Linked DNA regions of Arabidopsis thaliana. The protein of the gene in region 1 interacts with the protein of each later gene in a pairwise test. Each region holds a gene or a part of one and is shown in the gene's direction. Other genes may lie near its edges.

Region 1 (3,540 bases):
GTATAATTAGAGTTAAAAATTTGTGGAGACTATATATAACTCATTTTGCCTCCCATGGGTCATAAGCAAGCAAAAAAAATGGAGCAAACTTTCATCATGTAGAAAACTTGTCTTTCTTTCTTTAATACATATTTGAAGGTCTAAAAGAGTTAGGCAAGATGTGTTAGCGACAGTGTTTTCGAATGTGATGAGAAATAATCTTTAAGAACAAGTGGTTATGTACAAATTTATGCGAATAGATGATAAAGTAGATACAACAAAATGATTGAGTAGCAAGAGATGGAGAAAGAGAACTTTGCTCTATTAAAAAATGTGTTTGAGATCATTTTATCAATTTTTGAAGTAATTGGCTACATCGAATAATTTATGTACTTATATATAGTTTCTATATCAATTCATATACTTGATATATATATTATAAAAAATAAAATCCTTAAAACTACAATTTTTGTTTAGAAAATGTGTTGTGTATATCTTCAACATGAGAGAATGCATCAAAGTGGTGTGATCAAACTCTTTTAATCCAAATCTAACAAATATATTAGGGTTTTGTGCCAACAACCCTCAAAAATATTTTTTTTTGCAACATAACCTTTCATATTAAATACATGTAGGTCAATACTCTGATATCAAAAGTCACCCACAGTATAACCACGTGCATAGATTTTATATAATCTTTGGGCGTGCTTAGATTTTGCAAACCGTATAAGTATGTATATAAGTTATTAAACTACGTCGTTTGAGCATCTTTTCGGAAAATAATACATTACTAGAGTGGATTGGAACCAATAACCTATAATACTAAATAATGCACTTAACCAATTGTGCTGCAAGATTTATTGTTGATATTGCATACCGATAAATATATATTGTGAACATTGCATTCTGGGTTTCTTCATCTTCTTAGGAAATTAGGTTTATTAGCAATCCGAAATCTCTATTCACGTGAACTAGTTTGTTTATCACCACTGATTTCATTATCTTTGGCCATCATCAACAATTTGTAGAGCAAGCAAGGGCTCATTCTCATCGCAATTAATCTATTCTTCATCGAGGAAAGCTCTGAGACGAGGCGTGGGTGGAAGAATTGAGCGTGTTCAGACTTGGGTTTGATCCGATCGTAACCGCTCGCGCTGTTTGTCAAGTTTTATGTTTACAATTCTGAAATAATGTTATTGTTGTATTCGATTCATGTTTAAACTATATATATTAATCGGTTTGTAAAGTTAACAAAATCACTCTGCTCAATTGGTTAAGTAATCTTTGAATAGTTCAATATGCCATGCGTTCAAATCTATTTTCCAACATTATTTTGCGTTTTTGTTTAAAGGCTCAAAACAACGTAGTTTTAATAACCTATATATAAACATACGGTTTGCAAAATCTATACACGTCTAAGAGATATACTATAGGTGACTTTTGAGATCGCAGACCTGCATTTATTTAACTTACATGATTGAGTTACAAAAAAAATTACTTAGAGAATTTTTTGGCACAAAATCCAATTTTTATAACTAATTGAACCTTAAAATAATAATAAGTAAAAGCCGTTTTTTTTGTTAAAAGAAGGCTCAAAACGACGTAATTTTAATAATCATGTACAGATTTATATGATTTGCAAAATCTATACACGTGCAAGAGTTATATTGCGAACGACTTTTAATATCACAGTATTAATCTACGTTTGTTTGACATAAATAATTAAGTTGCAAAAAAATATTATTTGTGTTTTTTTTATGAAGCCCAATATTTTATTTAATTGGGCCTAACATAATAATAAGGGAAGCCCAATAATTTGTAGCAAATATTCTAGGGTTAGAATATTCTTCAACAGAATTAGGGTTACATGTGCGGACTCTATATAAATCTTTTTTGCCTCCTACGAATCACAAGTAATAAGAAAACAATGGAGCAAACTTTTATTATGATCAAGCCTGACGGCGTCCAGAGAGGACTCGTAAGCTTCCCTTTTCTCTTAATACATACTTGTTGATCTTGATCTGATTTTGGTTTTGTATTCAGTTCTTTGGATTGTTTATACTTAAAAGATCGATATGTTTGTGTTTTTTTCTTTCAGATCGGTGAAGTCATCTGCAGGTTTGAGAAGAAGGGTTTCACTTTGAAAGGTAATGATTTCGATTACCAAACTTGATTTTACATTATAATTAGAGGTCTTAGATCTAATTAAAGTCACTTTGTTACTTGAATTGAGATTGTAATGACACTATAGTTGCTTATGGTTTGGTCTAGTTTCTGAACACTAATAGTTTAGTAAAACTTGTTTGACTTGACAAGTATTCTGTGTTGTCTAATAGATTTTAGATTATAGTATCTGTGCATAAGAACTTGTTATTATCTGGACCTTTTGTATTATGTAATTTGGTAGATAAGAGTGTTAGTCTTGTGTTTCTGATCAGTGTAGATTTGTATTTTATACAGGTCTGAAGTTGATCAGTGTAGAGAGATCTTTTGCTGAGAAGCACTACGAAGACTTATCTTCAAAGTCTTTCTTCAGTGGACTCGTTGACTACATTGTATCCGGCCCTGTTGTTGCTATGATCTGGGAAGGAAAGAATGTTGTCTTGACCGGAAGAAAGATCATTGGAGCTACCAACCCAGCAGCTTCTGAGCCTGGAACTATCCGTGGGGACTTTGCTATTGACATTGGCAGGAACGTGATCCATGGTAGTGACTCTGTCGAGAGTGCAAGAAAGGAGATTGCTTTGTGGTTCCCTGATGGACCTGTCAACTGGCAGAGCAGCGTTCACCCTTGGGTCTATGAAACTTGATGATCTGTTGCTTTTTCAGTAGTGTGTTTTCGACATTGCTTGTCTTTTGAACAAGACTTCTATATTTAAGTTGAGTTTGATTATCCTTCTCTACTTTGCTTGCTTGCTACATATGAATACAACAGCTACCAACTGGTGATATAAAATATATCAGTTATTGCAGATACTGAACCAAAATTGACTCTTACCAATGGTTAGATCAAACCTATTTAGTAAACACAAGATCATACTTCTTGTAACCTTGTGTTTCATGAACACATAATGTTGTCAATCTCTTAGATGCTCTCGAAAACTGCGACGTTCGACAAAGTGGCAAGCTTAAGTTGTCTAGTAAGCCATTGTCCAAGTTTGAGGCTGACACCAACTTGAAGGGGGCATACTAGGAGAGAGTGATAAGAAAAGTTTTGAGTATTTGTCTACTGAATTTCAAGCTTACTGATGAACATTGGCAAGCTAAATTTAAATAACTAAATTTTACAATTTTGGTTCTTCAAACTTTAGAGAAGAAAAGAATCCAACGGTCAGGTTCAACTCCAACCCGTCTGTTTCAATCATCTATTTTGACCGCTTATTGTAGCTGCCTGTAACAGTTCAAACCCAGCCACTGTCAACAATCAAAGCCAAGTTTGTTTCCAAAGATGGACACAGCTAAGTAGTCTTTTTTGTCCTCTTCCAATTGTTGGTTCTAAGAAGTCGGTTAAGCGAGAACGCTTCTCCTTGACCATCGTTAAGCGACCGCAGTTCCAGACAG
Region 2 (6,358 bases), on another chromosome or scaffold:
AACCATGAGGGATATTCGTGGTTTTGCTGTCAAGTTTTACACCAGAGAGGTATAAGAAAAGATTCAAAGTTTCCATTTTTAATCGTCTTTTAGCTTCTTTAGAATCAGGACTGATTTTTGTCTTGTTACTGTTATGATCAGGGAAACTTTGATCTTGTTGGGAACAACACTCCGGTGTTCTTCATCCGTGATGGGATTCAGTTCCCGGATGTTGTCCACGCGTTGAAACCTAACCCGAAAACAAACATCCAAGAGTACTGGAGGATTCTGGACTACATGTCCCACTTGCCTGAGAGTTTGCTCACATGGTGCTGGATGTTTGATGATGTTGGTATTCCACAAGATTACAGGCACATGGAGGGTTTCGGTGTCCACACCTACACTCTTATTGCCAAATCTGGAAAAGTTCTCTTTGTGAAGTTCCACTGGAAACCAACTTGTGGGATCAAGAATCTGACTGATGAAGAGGCCAAGGTTGTTGGAGGAGCCAATCACAGCCACGCCACTAAGGATCTCCACGATGCCATTGCATCTGGCAACTACCCCGAGTGGAAACTTTTCATCCAGACCATGGATCCTGCAGATGAGGATAAGTTTGACTTTGACCCACTTGATGTGACCAAGATCTGGCCTGAGGATATTTTGCCTCTGCAACCGGTTGGTCGCTTGGTTCTGAACAGGACCATTGACAATTTCTTCAATGAAACTGAGCAGCTTGCGTTCAACCCGGGTCTTGTGGTTCCTGGAATCTACTACTCAGACGACAAGCTGCTCCAGTGTAGGATCTTTGCTTATGGTGACACTCAGAGACATCGCCTTGGACCGAATTATTTGCAGCTTCCAGTCAATGCTCCCAAATGTGCTCACCACAACAATCACCATGAAGGTTTTATGAACTTCATGCACAGAGATGAGGAGGTACGTCTTAGTACACCACTTGAGCTACCATTGTTAGTCTTTTTACTTGGAATCAAAATTCTCATTTGGTTTGTACTTTTTACAGATCAATTACTACCCCTCAAAGTTTGATCCTGTCCGCTGCGCTGAGAAAGTTCCCACCCCTACAAACTCCTACACTGGAATTCGAACAAAGGTCCGATTCCTGCCATGCCTTCTCTAAATCTTCAAATCCTAAACTCAAGTTTATTAGAATATTGGTGCTAAGAAAACCTTTTAATTGCTAATGTTGCAGTGCGTCATCAAGAAAGAGAACAACTTCAAACAGGCTGGAGACAGGTACAGATCATGGGCACCAGACAGGCAAGACAGGTTTGTTAAGAGATGGGTGGAGATTCTATCGGAGCCACGTCTCACCCACGAGATCCGCGGCATCTGGATCTCTTACTGGTCTCAGGTCAGAACAAAAAAACACTCGGTCAAATTTCTACGTCCTTTTTACCAAGTTTCAGCAAACTAAAACATTATTTATCTCTCTGTATCTCTCAGGCTGATCGATCCTTGGGACAGAAACTTGCAAGCCGTCTGAACGTGAGGCCAAGCATCTAGAGGCCAATCTCCATATAAGCTCAGTCTATGTGAGGTACAATCAATCTCATCGATCTATCATCGCTTGGTCGTTAAATCCGTCAAAAAGATAATCACATGTGTTGTTGTTTCTTGTCTATATAATAATAATGCTTGTAATCCCAAAAACTCATGTTTCCTTCCTTTCTACTCTCACTGTCTTTGTAATCTCTTTTTACAATAAATCAATGTTTCTTGAAGCAGTAAACAATTTCTAAGATTTATGGTGGTCGTTATACATATTATTAATTCAGGAAAAAAAAGAGAAGATACCGTAATTGAACATGTATTATTTTAAGGAGAATCCTGAAATGGATCAACAATTGTCTAATTATGGTATAGTATCTGGCGAAATCAAAGACGATATCATCCACACGTAATTAGTTTGACTATTAATACGAGGATTATCATTTGGATAAGGATTAACAAAGACAAAACACATACGTGTTTTGGTGTTGAGCTAAAATAAGATATTTTGGCTCTCGCTATAAAAAAAAAATCGACAACAGTGCAGACACACGCCGATTTGCGAGATACACACAGTCTCACCTAAAAATCGCAAAAGAAGAAAAATTCGGATCAAAATTGTCTTCAAGCATCATGGATCCATACAGGGTACATCGATTGATTCTCTTTTTTTGTAATCTGTGATTTTACCTTACTTGATTTCGTATCGATTTGGTGTGATTTCGTGTTGAATCCAAAGTGTATGAATGATCTCTCTCTCTCGGTTAAAATGATGCAAAATTGGGGTGATTGTTCGACTTGTTGAGGTTTTTTTGTGTGAATCGATTTCTTTATTATATAGTGGAGATTGGGTTTCGATTTGCATGCGTTGAAGATTCCACTGGAAAATTCAACATGTTTTTCCGTCTATTGATTGTTTATTTGTCAACATGCTCATGCTCATGCTCATGTTCTAATACACAAGTCTTAAGGCTGACGTGATCTGTCAATATCGTTGTACATGTTTTAAGGTTTCTTTACGATTTTTTTAAAGTTATTTTAATCACTGTGTTCAATTGTGAATATCATTGTTGCTTGTATCGTATTTTTTTAATTGATCATATATACTTATGTGGAATTGTTATGTATCAAGTATCAATGTATCATTATTTGTCATAGACGTTTCTCCAATCTATGGAAATTTGGTTAATTTTTTTGTGATCCAGTTCTTCTGAATTTATTTGTTGGTGTGCAGGTTCGTCCTTCAAGCGCTCATGATTCCCCTTTCTTCACTACAAACTCGGGTGCTCCTGTCTGGAACAACAACTCTTCTTTGACTGTCGGAACTCGAGGTCCGTTTCTCTTTCTTATCTCTTGAATACAAATTATAACAAATATGTTGAACCAGTGGTTGTTAGAAATGCCCTTAAAGCTAGAGTAGTGGAAGCCAAATAATTTTATAAACGTTTGGATAATAATGTCATTAGTGTTTTTGTTGTGGACTTGCGTAAATCACATTTCTTCCTTCAGTTTTATGCCAAATCTGATATAATTCCTCAATGTTGATTCTGTCTCAGTTGCTTGGATTTTTAGATATGTTAAGCGATGGTTTTATATATTGTCAGGTCCAATCCTTCTGGAGGACTATCATCTGCTTGAGAAACTCGCTAACTTTGACAGGGAGCGGATTCCTGAGAGGGTTGTTCATGCCAGGGGAGCCAGTGCTAAGGGTTTCTTTGAAGTCACTCATGACATTACCCAACTTACTTCTGCTGATTTTCTTCGAGGACCTGGTGTTCAGACTCCTGTTATCGTTCGTTTCTCAACTGTCATCCATGAGCGTGGCAGTCCCGAGACTCTCAGAGATCCCCGTGGTTTTGCTGTTAAGTTTTACACCAGAGAGGTTAGCTTTTTGTCTTATCCTTCCATTGTCTCTCTATTTTCTATAACCGATATCGATGTGTTTGCTGATATTCAAACGTTTATTTGCTTATCTATTTCGTTTCACCACCTATATGATTACTTGCAAATCATATCATACTATACTGATGATTCCTCTTACCCTCTGTTTGCAAACTCAGGGGAACTTTGATCTTGTTGGGAACAACTTCCCTGTATTCTTCGTCCGTGATGGAATGAAATTCCCTGACATGGTCCATGCATTGAAACCGAATCCCAAGTCTCACATTCAGGAGAACTGGAGGATACTGGACTTCTTCTCCCACCACCCAGAGAGTTTGCACATGTTTTCATTTCTCTTTGATGATCTCGGTATCCCACAGGACTACAGGCACATGGAAGGCGCTGGGGTCAACACTTACATGCTAATCAACAAAGCTGGAAAAGCTCACTATGTGAAATTCCACTGGAAGCCGACTTGTGGGATCAAATGCCTGTCGGATGAGGAAGCTATCAGAGTTGGAGGAGCCAATCACAGCCATGCCACCAAAGATCTCTATGACTCGATCGCAGCCGGGAACTATCCGCAGTGGAATCTCTTCGTTCAGGTGATGGATCCTGCCCATGAAGACAAATTTGACTTCGATCCGCTTGATGTCACAAAGATCTGGCCTGAAGATATCTTGCCTTTACAACCTGTTGGTCGCTTGGTCTTGAACAAAAACATCGACAACTTCTTTAATGAGAACGAACAGATTGCATTCTGTCCTGCTCTTGTGGTTCCAGGCATCCACTATTCAGATGATAAGCTACTCCAGACCCGGATCTTCTCCTACGCTGATAGTCAGAGACACCGTCTTGGACCAAACTATCTGCAACTACCTGTTAATGCCCCTAAATGTGCTCACCACAACAATCACCATGATGGTTTTATGAACTTCATGCACAGGGATGAGGAGGTAATCTTATCTCTCGGCTCTAGAAACTCCCAGATACTTAAATTCGCAATCACATTTATATGAAGTGAATTTGTTGCTTTCCAATTCCAGGTCAATTACTTCCCTTCAAGGTTGGATCCAGTTCGCCATGCCGAAAAATACCCTACAACTCCTATTGTCTGCTCTGGAAATCGTGAGAAGGTCAGAGTCCTCTACATACATTAATTTTTGATCACAAGTTTTATCCTCATAAGTCATAGTTAAAACTCAAATGTCATCTTTATATCACAGTGCTTCATCGGGAAGGAGAACAACTTCAAGCAACCAGGGGAGAGATACCGGTCCTGGGATTCAGACAGGTAAACACTAAAAACTCAAAAACCACATTGCAAAATCAACAATTACACATGAACCACAAATGTCATAATTCATTCTAATGGTCTTTTGTTTTGTACCAATAGGCAAGAACGATTCGTGAAGCGTTTTGTTGAAGCGCTTTCGGAGCCTCGTGTCACGCACGAAATCCGCAGCATTTGGATCTCTTACTGGTCTCAGGCAGACAAATCTCTGGGACAGAAACTAGCAACTCGTCTTAACGTGAGGCCAAACTTCTGAATGATATCATCTCTAAAGACTAAGTGAAATCCTATAAACTCAATATGCTCCTCTTACGGTTTGGTTTCTAAGTAATCTCGTTTATTGACAATGAAACGCTTAAAGAAGGGTACTAGTTCCTGTTTGTAATCTTCTTTTCAAAATATTAACGATTATTTTCTAAGGCAAATAAATAAAAAGCTATGACTAATATAGCTTAGTAAACAAGTATCACTATCATCCATTTGGTTCTACTTTAAAAATGGATTTTTATTTGTATTTTAATCTTCTGCATCTATGACGTGAGCTTATAGTTGGAATTTTATTGGGGTCTAATGTCAGACGCACGATCTTGATAAAAAAGTTTTATGTCTGTCCATATTTTGATAAATTGGCATAGTCATCACTCATCACGTCAGACCTTTTAATTGGTCAATCGTTATGATGCTACATCGCATTCATAATTTATAATTTACATGTAAGTGGGGGTGGAGTATTTGATTATTCCGCTGCTAGTGGAAATGCAAAAAGAATAATGAGAGCAGACCAATTTTAATTATGCTTATACTTTGTTGCGCTTAACTTTTAATCAGCTAATACAGTCTGATTAATCTGATGTCTCTCAGCCAGTAGTTTCTTTTCTTAAAGAGAACCTCAGCGCAAATCAGAAATTAGACACATGGAGCCACATCAAACTTAATCACCAATAATATCCTTTTCTCATGTATTTTTCAGTCTCATATTTTTTTTTACAACTTGTTAAGTGGTAGTGTGCGAAGATTTTAGATCGAAGTTACGCATCTTAAGAGATTATTTATCCAATGAAATGGTATAGTGAACTGTGTTTGCTAATGGTCCAGGATTTTATACATTTAAAATTCATAACTTTGCAGTTTAACGAAAAACAATAACAAATTTAACGTGTTTTGGTTGTCGTTAACAAGATCTCGGATCCATTTAGGAAAAGTCAATATCTTGATGACGAAATCAAGAAGACTTTACTTTGATTGCATGTGACGGAACTTAAGCACTATACTAAACGATAAAATGTAATTATGTAAATATCTAAGTTTTGAGGTGTATAATGCAAGAGTATAATTTCGTGGACCTACGTCTAGGTCTACCAACAAATGTACTCAACATAAATAATATCGTCTCCGTACCCCAAAAATAAGGTATATAGGTTTTATACCTAACCAAGACGTGCAAAAATTATCACAATTATTTGACGTGGAAGTTAATGATTCGGCCAACCTTATACTAATTTTGTTTTGCAATTAAGGACTCATTTTTTGTGTATTATATTAAGGGATCTCTATTATCAATGTCCAACTATTAATCATTTTTTATACGTTTCAAAGCCCTATGAAAAGAGATTCTATTTGCCCGGATCATAATTTAAAATTGTGTAATCAGAATCTTCTTTTGTATTTGCAAAGTTTAAAAATTCATTGGTT
Region 3 (5,970 bases), about 11 Mb from region 1:
TTATTCTTAAAATATCTTAATATTATTTACACTAAAGAAAACATAGAACATACTCCTTTCTATTCATTGTTTTTAGGCTATATTGTACCTTCATATTTCATTTTTGAACTTTTCAGTTCAGAAAATAGTACATACAATAACTTTGAAAAGATTCAATATTAATGCTGTCTTAGATTAGCACTTTTTAAAAGTATGTATAAAACAAGTAATCGATCATCCTTAAGTTTGGTGTTCCCTAATATTCATATTTTAGCTGGTTGCAAACACCAGCTATATTCGTTTATGGATTTTGGTCTAATTATTATTAAAAAAACAAAAATTAACCATAAGGTGAGTTTGTTTTGTGTATCCTTCTTATTTTTAACCAAGAAGGAACTTACATCAAGATTAGTTGAAATTTTCAAAAAGACGACACGTGCTGAGAAAAATATGTTCTTGATCCTTGACATTGGAAATGGAAGTAGTAGCTAGCTACTTAATCGTTGTATATCTTTAAGAGTTGGGCTAGACCAGATAATTCAGCCCATTTTGATGTATTAGCGACAATTCTTTTGATAGCATTTTTGGGCTAAGTCTATTCGTAATGGGTTTCAATCATCTCATTGTTTCTTCAGCACATTTTTGAGCCTGCTTATTTTTTTTCAGAACGTATGGAACAAGATCACATGTTTAATTATGTATGGTCGACATGTTTCAATCCGTTGGCTTTAAGGTCTTAATAACGTACGATACATTAGTTTTGTTTTGTTGCATGTAACCTGTGTGGTTGTACTTGTACGTTCACTACTTGTTGGTTTCTTTATAACCAATAGAATTCGGCAATTCAGTACCATGTATATGTTTTTCTTAACCGACCATATATTCCATAATTCACATGCCATCTCTTAAAAGAAATACAAGCACTCATAGCCATAGGTGGTGGATGAAGAAATATGTGTGTTAAAAATTTCTTCTATTGTCCAAAATCAACAGCTTGATCAGATGAACTTCTGAGCGAGCCAGAGGGTTCCAAGGTGGGCCATTGGGAACTTGATAAATCTCATCTCGTCACATCTCCCAAGGGGCAAAACAAAAACTTAAGAAATAATCAATTCAAAAGGCATATTCTTCCCGCTTGGGGCGTTCACACTATCTCATCACACGTGGAATCCAACAAAGCAGCCACGTCACCCAAGACCATACTAAACCACTTAAAAAGGTTTTGCTAAAAGGCCAAAAAAACCGGATAAGGAACCACAGCCCAATGACGTCCTCATTTATTTTATTTTCATTGAATTGCCTAATATTTATTTCTTTTGTCGTCCTTCTTCCTTGCTTTTGTTACCATATAAAAAAAACTTTTTTTTTAAGTACAGAATATATATATGACAATATCGCAATCGTGGGTTCAGCTTATCTTAAGTTCTCGGGAACCTAAATTCGGATCGCATTGACGATGTTGATCTATCAAACCACAGCCAGTTAGTTTATAAGGTTCAAAATTAATCGTTTATCAAAAACTACATGTAAGTTGGCTTTGTTCAACGAATTTTTAGAAAAACGTAAAACGATATAATTTGGCAGGACCAAATAAAAACCAATGCCATGGATTTCATCTTCTATTACATCATAGAATAGATTCAATTCTGTAAGGGTTGACTTTGTTTTAATCATTATTCTACATTCTCTAATAATAATAGATTTTGTTAAACTTGTTAATGTGATGTAAATCAAAAGTACAGTTATTTGCTATGAGTGTCTGAGATTAAAAGATAGTCGCACTAATTCATTTAGATTAGTTTATAATCCAATTAACAAAATAAAAATGAGCGAATAAAACAAATTAAAACTACTTTTTCTGAATTTGAATAAATAGTAGGTAACCGGTGGTTGGATTAAGAAAAATATATATGAAACAATTCGTGGTACTGTGATCATAAATAATACTTGACGTTCCTGAATTTCTCGCCACAATATATAACATTTGTTTTTTTCTTTCCAGTATTTATCACATGAAAAAACTAAAATAAAGAAAAAACGATAACCTTTAAAAATTCCCCCCTCAAAATAAAGAAAAAAATAAAAAGCTAAAAAGGCAGTAATACACACGCCATTTATAAATAAGGCAAGTGAATATAAAATAGTGCCTCATCATCATCAGTACCATCTCCTCGTTTTGATAAAAATCTCTGAATCTCTCCAAGCTCTCTTCTCATCAAACCATGGATCCTTACAAGGTAAACCCTTCTTTCTTTTCTCTCTAACCTTTTCGTCTTTTGTAATTTCTCCGTATAAACTGGATTGAAACGTTGTTATTAGCTTATGGAATTGCACCCAAAGTTTTGACCTTTTTTTCTACTCGAATCTGCAAATATACAATTAAGTCTTTCCATTGCTCTAAGATCATGTGCCTTTTGACTTGTGATTCTTTCGAATCATTGTGGTTTTTCTCTGATGTTAATTTTAATTTCCTTTGCAATTGATGATGATGATGCAGTATCGTCCAGCTAGTTCTTACAACTCTCCCTTCTTCACCACCAACTCTGGTGCTCCTGTATGGAACAACAACTCCTCCATGACCGTTGGACCCAGAGGTACCTCTTCTTCTCCCATGAATAAGTCTGTTCTCCTCAATGTTATTGTTGCATTTCTGATTGTTTTTTTGGGCAGGTCCTATCCTTCTTGAGGATTACCATCTCGTTGAGAAGCTTGCCAATTTCGACAGGGAACGGATTCCAGAGCGTGTGGTTCATGCCAGAGGAGCCAGTGCTAAAGGTTTCTTTGAGGTCACTCATGATATCTCTAACCTCACTTGTGCTGACTTTCTCCGAGCTCCCGGTGTTCAGACTCCTGTCATTGTCCGGTTCTCCACCGTTATCCATGAGCGTGGAAGTCCCGAGACCTTGAGAGACCCTCGTGGTTTTGCAGTCAAGTTCTACACCAGAGAGGTCAGTTAGTAGTTTGTAACATTTAAGAATGCTAGCAATTACTTATATACTAAGCAAATGATCATTCTTTGTATGCAGGGGAACTTTGATCTTGTTGGAAACAACTTTCCTGTTTTCTTCATCCGCGATGGGATGAAGTTCCCTGACATGGTCCACGCTCTTAAGCCGAACCCAAAATCTCACATCCAAGAGAACTGGAGAATCCTTGACTTCTTCTCCCACCACCCTGAAAGTTTGAACATGTTCACTTTCCTCTTCGATGATATCGGTATCCCACAAGATTACAGGCACATGGATGGTTCAGGTGTCAATACATACATGTTGATCAACAAAGCTGGCAAAGCTCACTACGTGAAGTTCCATTGGAAACCAACTTGTGGAGTCAAGTCTCTTTTGGAAGAAGATGCAATTCGTGTTGGAGGAACCAACCACAGTCATGCGACTCAAGACTTGTATGACTCTATAGCTGCTGGAAACTACCCTGAATGGAAGCTCTTTATCCAAATCATTGATCCTGCTGATGAAGACAAGTTCGACTTTGACCCGCTCGATGTGACCAAGACCTGGCCTGAGGATATCTTGCCTCTTCAACCTGTTGGACGTATGGTGTTGAACAAGAACATTGACAACTTCTTTGCAGAGAATGAGCAACTTGCTTTCTGTCCTGCAATTATTGTCCCAGGGATACATTACTCAGATGATAAGCTGCTTCAAACCCGTGTCTTCTCCTATGCCGATACTCAGAGACACCGTCTTGGACCAAACTACCTTCAGCTGCCAGTCAATGCTCCAAAATGTGCTCACCACAACAACCACCATGAGGGATTCATGAATTTCATGCACAGGGACGAGGAGGTACTTAATAGTACACTATCAATATCTTTATATCGAACTTGAAGCTAGAATACCATAGTCTTACAAGAAGCTGTTGTTACAGGTTAACTACTTCCCGTCGAGGTATGACCAGGTTCGTCATGCTGAGAAGTATCCAACTCCGCCTGCTGTCTGTTCTGGAAAACGTGAGAGGGTCAGTAATCAACTCTGTTTTCCTCTCTGTTTCTGTTTCCCATGGATTGGTTCACTTAAGAACATATGATCTAAAAGTTTCGAAATCTGTTTTTTTTTCAGTGCATTATTGAGAAAGAGAACAACTTCAAGGAGCCTGGAGAGAGATACCGTACCTTTACACCAGAGAGGTACTAATTGTTTTATTTTTGTAATGATGCTTAATGCATAAAAGGAACATCTGTGTTCTTAACGTTTTACGGTATGTTTTCAACTTCAGGCAAGAACGATTCATCCAGAGATGGATTGATGCCCTATCCGACCCACGCATCACGCATGAAATCCGCAGTATCTGGATCTCTTACTGGTCTCAGGTCTGAAATCTTGATCTCTGTTACTGTCATTGTCTCGTTCTTCAAGTCTCAGCAGTTGAAAAGTTGTCAAGTTTTAAACATTTTTGACTGATTGGTTAAAAATGTGTGAAACAGGCTGATAAGTCTTTGGGACAGAAGCTGGCAAGCCGTCTGAACGTGAGACCAAGCATCTAAAACGAGTGAAAGAATTCTTGATTGGCCTTTCTGTGGTTGTTAATTAGCAGAGAAAAGAAAATGGGAAGAGATCAAAGTTGCGATAATACAATCTTCATCATGTGGATCTTCTGTGCTATGTTATAATAGTATCTGTTTAAAGACCAAAAGAACCTTGTGTGTTGTTGTGTCTCTCGTTTATCAGAATAATACATTATACATTGAAGATTTATAATCCGTGGTGTTACTTGATGAAAGCTCCTTCTTCCTTGAAAGATTGTGACATATTCTTATATATTTCTCATATATTAACGAATGTAATCCCGTAAGAGCTGTCGACAAAGACGTGATTTTTAGTCTGCATGTTCTGGACGAAAGGGAATAGCAAAGTATGAAACGAAAAAGACAAGAAAATCCATAAATTCTTATGTGTGGGTATTAGGGAATTTACAATAGTTGTCAATATGTGTTGTAACAGTGGCCACATTTGTGTATAACGTCGTTGTATCAAGTGTGGGGTGTCGAGAGTCTTTAGATTTGGTGTGAATAATCTGACAATTTGGATTTGAACTCTGCTTTGACATCCTGACATTAGAAAATAAACTTGGTTTTGACATTTTGGGGTTTGTATTTGTGACAAGTACTGTTCAAATGATATAAACAAGAATGACTTTTTAGTTAAAATTTGATAATATTACAAAGTATGGTTACATGCAGTTGATCGATAATTCAGAACCAAAACCAAACTTCTCTTAAAAATAAGGAAAATAAAAAGAATCACCAAATGGTTTTCTCCGAGAGGAGTTTCTGAAGCAAGATTACGAGATTTTGTTCGTACAGGTGACAATAATACGAGTGATATGGACCCAAAAAAACCTCTCTTTCTTCTATAAGAACTACAAAGATTTCAACTTGTCTCATTTACCTGAAGAAGCTTTTACTTTCTCAGTAGAGGCTAAAACCAAAGAAAGGGCTGATGACAATTCCCAATCCAAGACCAATAGCCACAAGTGACGAAACCCAAGTTAGTTTCTCTGTGATCCTTGGAACTTTCTCTTTCAAAGCCTCACTGCAAGACCCAATAAACGCTGTGTAACTTCCCATCGCTATAACTGTCCCAACCAGAAACATTATCAAAAACGCAGACCCTGCTAACCGTGATGGGAGAGCTAATGCAGGCAAAACAATCATCAGAGCATCCGGTTGCAACCCGTGAACCACTCCAGTTGCAAATGTAGCAAACCCGATCTTCTTCTTTTTGGGCAGTGGTAAGGCTTCTTTCTCTGTTGATACCATGCTGATGTCGGTTTCTAAAGCGACACAAGGTTCTGGAATCTCAGAAGCTTCCTTGATTCCCATAGCACCGATAATAACAAGAGTCAATCCCACAATTCTTGTACCCCAAGTTTGTAATACTTCAATGTGAAGCCGGTCTTTAAGTAGCAGAAACAGTAAACCAAAGATGACTTGACCAGCATCATGCCCACATCCCCAGAGAGCTCCAACAGCAG

Evidence for each region. Proteins that work in one complex are often made in the same cells at the same time.
Region 2: the proteins of NDPK1 (region 1) and CAT1 interact in a two-hybrid assay, tested with the Arabidopsis thaliana proteins (one study listed by BioGRID).
Region 3: the proteins of NDPK1 (region 1) and CAT2 interact in a two-hybrid assay, tested with the Arabidopsis thaliana proteins (one study listed by BioGRID).

Annotation. Positions count from the first base shown.
Region 1 is NC_003075.7:5,921,578-5,925,117, forward strand, and holds NDPK1 (nucleoside diphosphate kinase), read left to right. Parts: upstream 1-1,906; coding exon 1,907-1,957; intron 1,958-2,077; coding exon 2,078-2,126; intron 2,127-2,439; coding exon 2,440-2,789; downstream 2,790-3,540. Other genes in the region: AT4G09340 (SPla/RYanodine receptor (SPRY) domain-containing protein), read right to left, coding at 3,438-3,540. UniProt on the Arabidopsis thaliana protein: Major role in the synthesis of nucleoside triphosphates other than ATP. The ATP gamma phosphate is transferred to the NDP beta phosphate via a ping-pong mechanism, using a phosphorylated active-site intermediate.
Region 2 is NC_003070.9:7,144,688-7,151,045, forward strand, and holds CAT1 (catalase 1), read left to right. Parts: upstream 1-1,948; 5' UTR 1,949-2,124; coding exon 2,125-2,139; intron 2,140-2,725; coding exon 2,726-2,822; intron 2,823-3,095; coding exon 3,096-3,373; intron 3,374-3,551; coding exon 3,552-4,328; intron 4,329-4,418; coding exon 4,419-4,508; intron 4,509-4,598; coding exon 4,599-4,666; intron 4,667-4,768; coding exon 4,769-4,922; 3' UTR 4,923-5,493; downstream 5,494-6,358. Other genes in the region: CAT3 (catalase 3), read left to right, coding at 1-49, 142-918, 1,004-1,093, 1,193-1,354, 1,447-1,506. UniProt on the Arabidopsis thaliana protein: Occurs in almost all aerobically respiring organisms and serves to protect cells from the toxic effects of hydrogen peroxide.
Region 3 is NC_003075.7:16,699,447-16,705,416, reverse strand, and holds CAT2 (catalase 2), read left to right. Parts: upstream 1-1,912; 5' UTR 1,913-2,201; coding exon 2,202-2,216; exon of another isoform or gene 2,217-2,461; coding exon of another isoform or gene 2,462-2,476; coding exon 2,477-2,573; intron 2,574-2,649; coding exon 2,650-2,927; intron 2,928-3,005; coding exon 3,006-3,782; intron 3,783-3,864; coding exon 3,865-3,954; intron 3,955-4,055; coding exon 4,056-4,123; intron 4,124-4,212; coding exon 4,213-4,306; coding exon of another isoform or gene 4,307-4,312; exon of another isoform or gene 4,313-4,420; coding exon 4,421-4,480; 3' UTR 4,481-5,105; downstream 5,106-5,970. Other genes in the region: AT4G35080 (high-affinity nickel-transport family protein), read right to left, coding at 5,405-5,970. UniProt on the Arabidopsis thaliana protein: Catalyzes the degradation of hydrogen peroxide (H(2)O(2)) generated by peroxisomal oxidases to water and oxygen, thereby protecting cells from the toxic effects of hydrogen peroxide.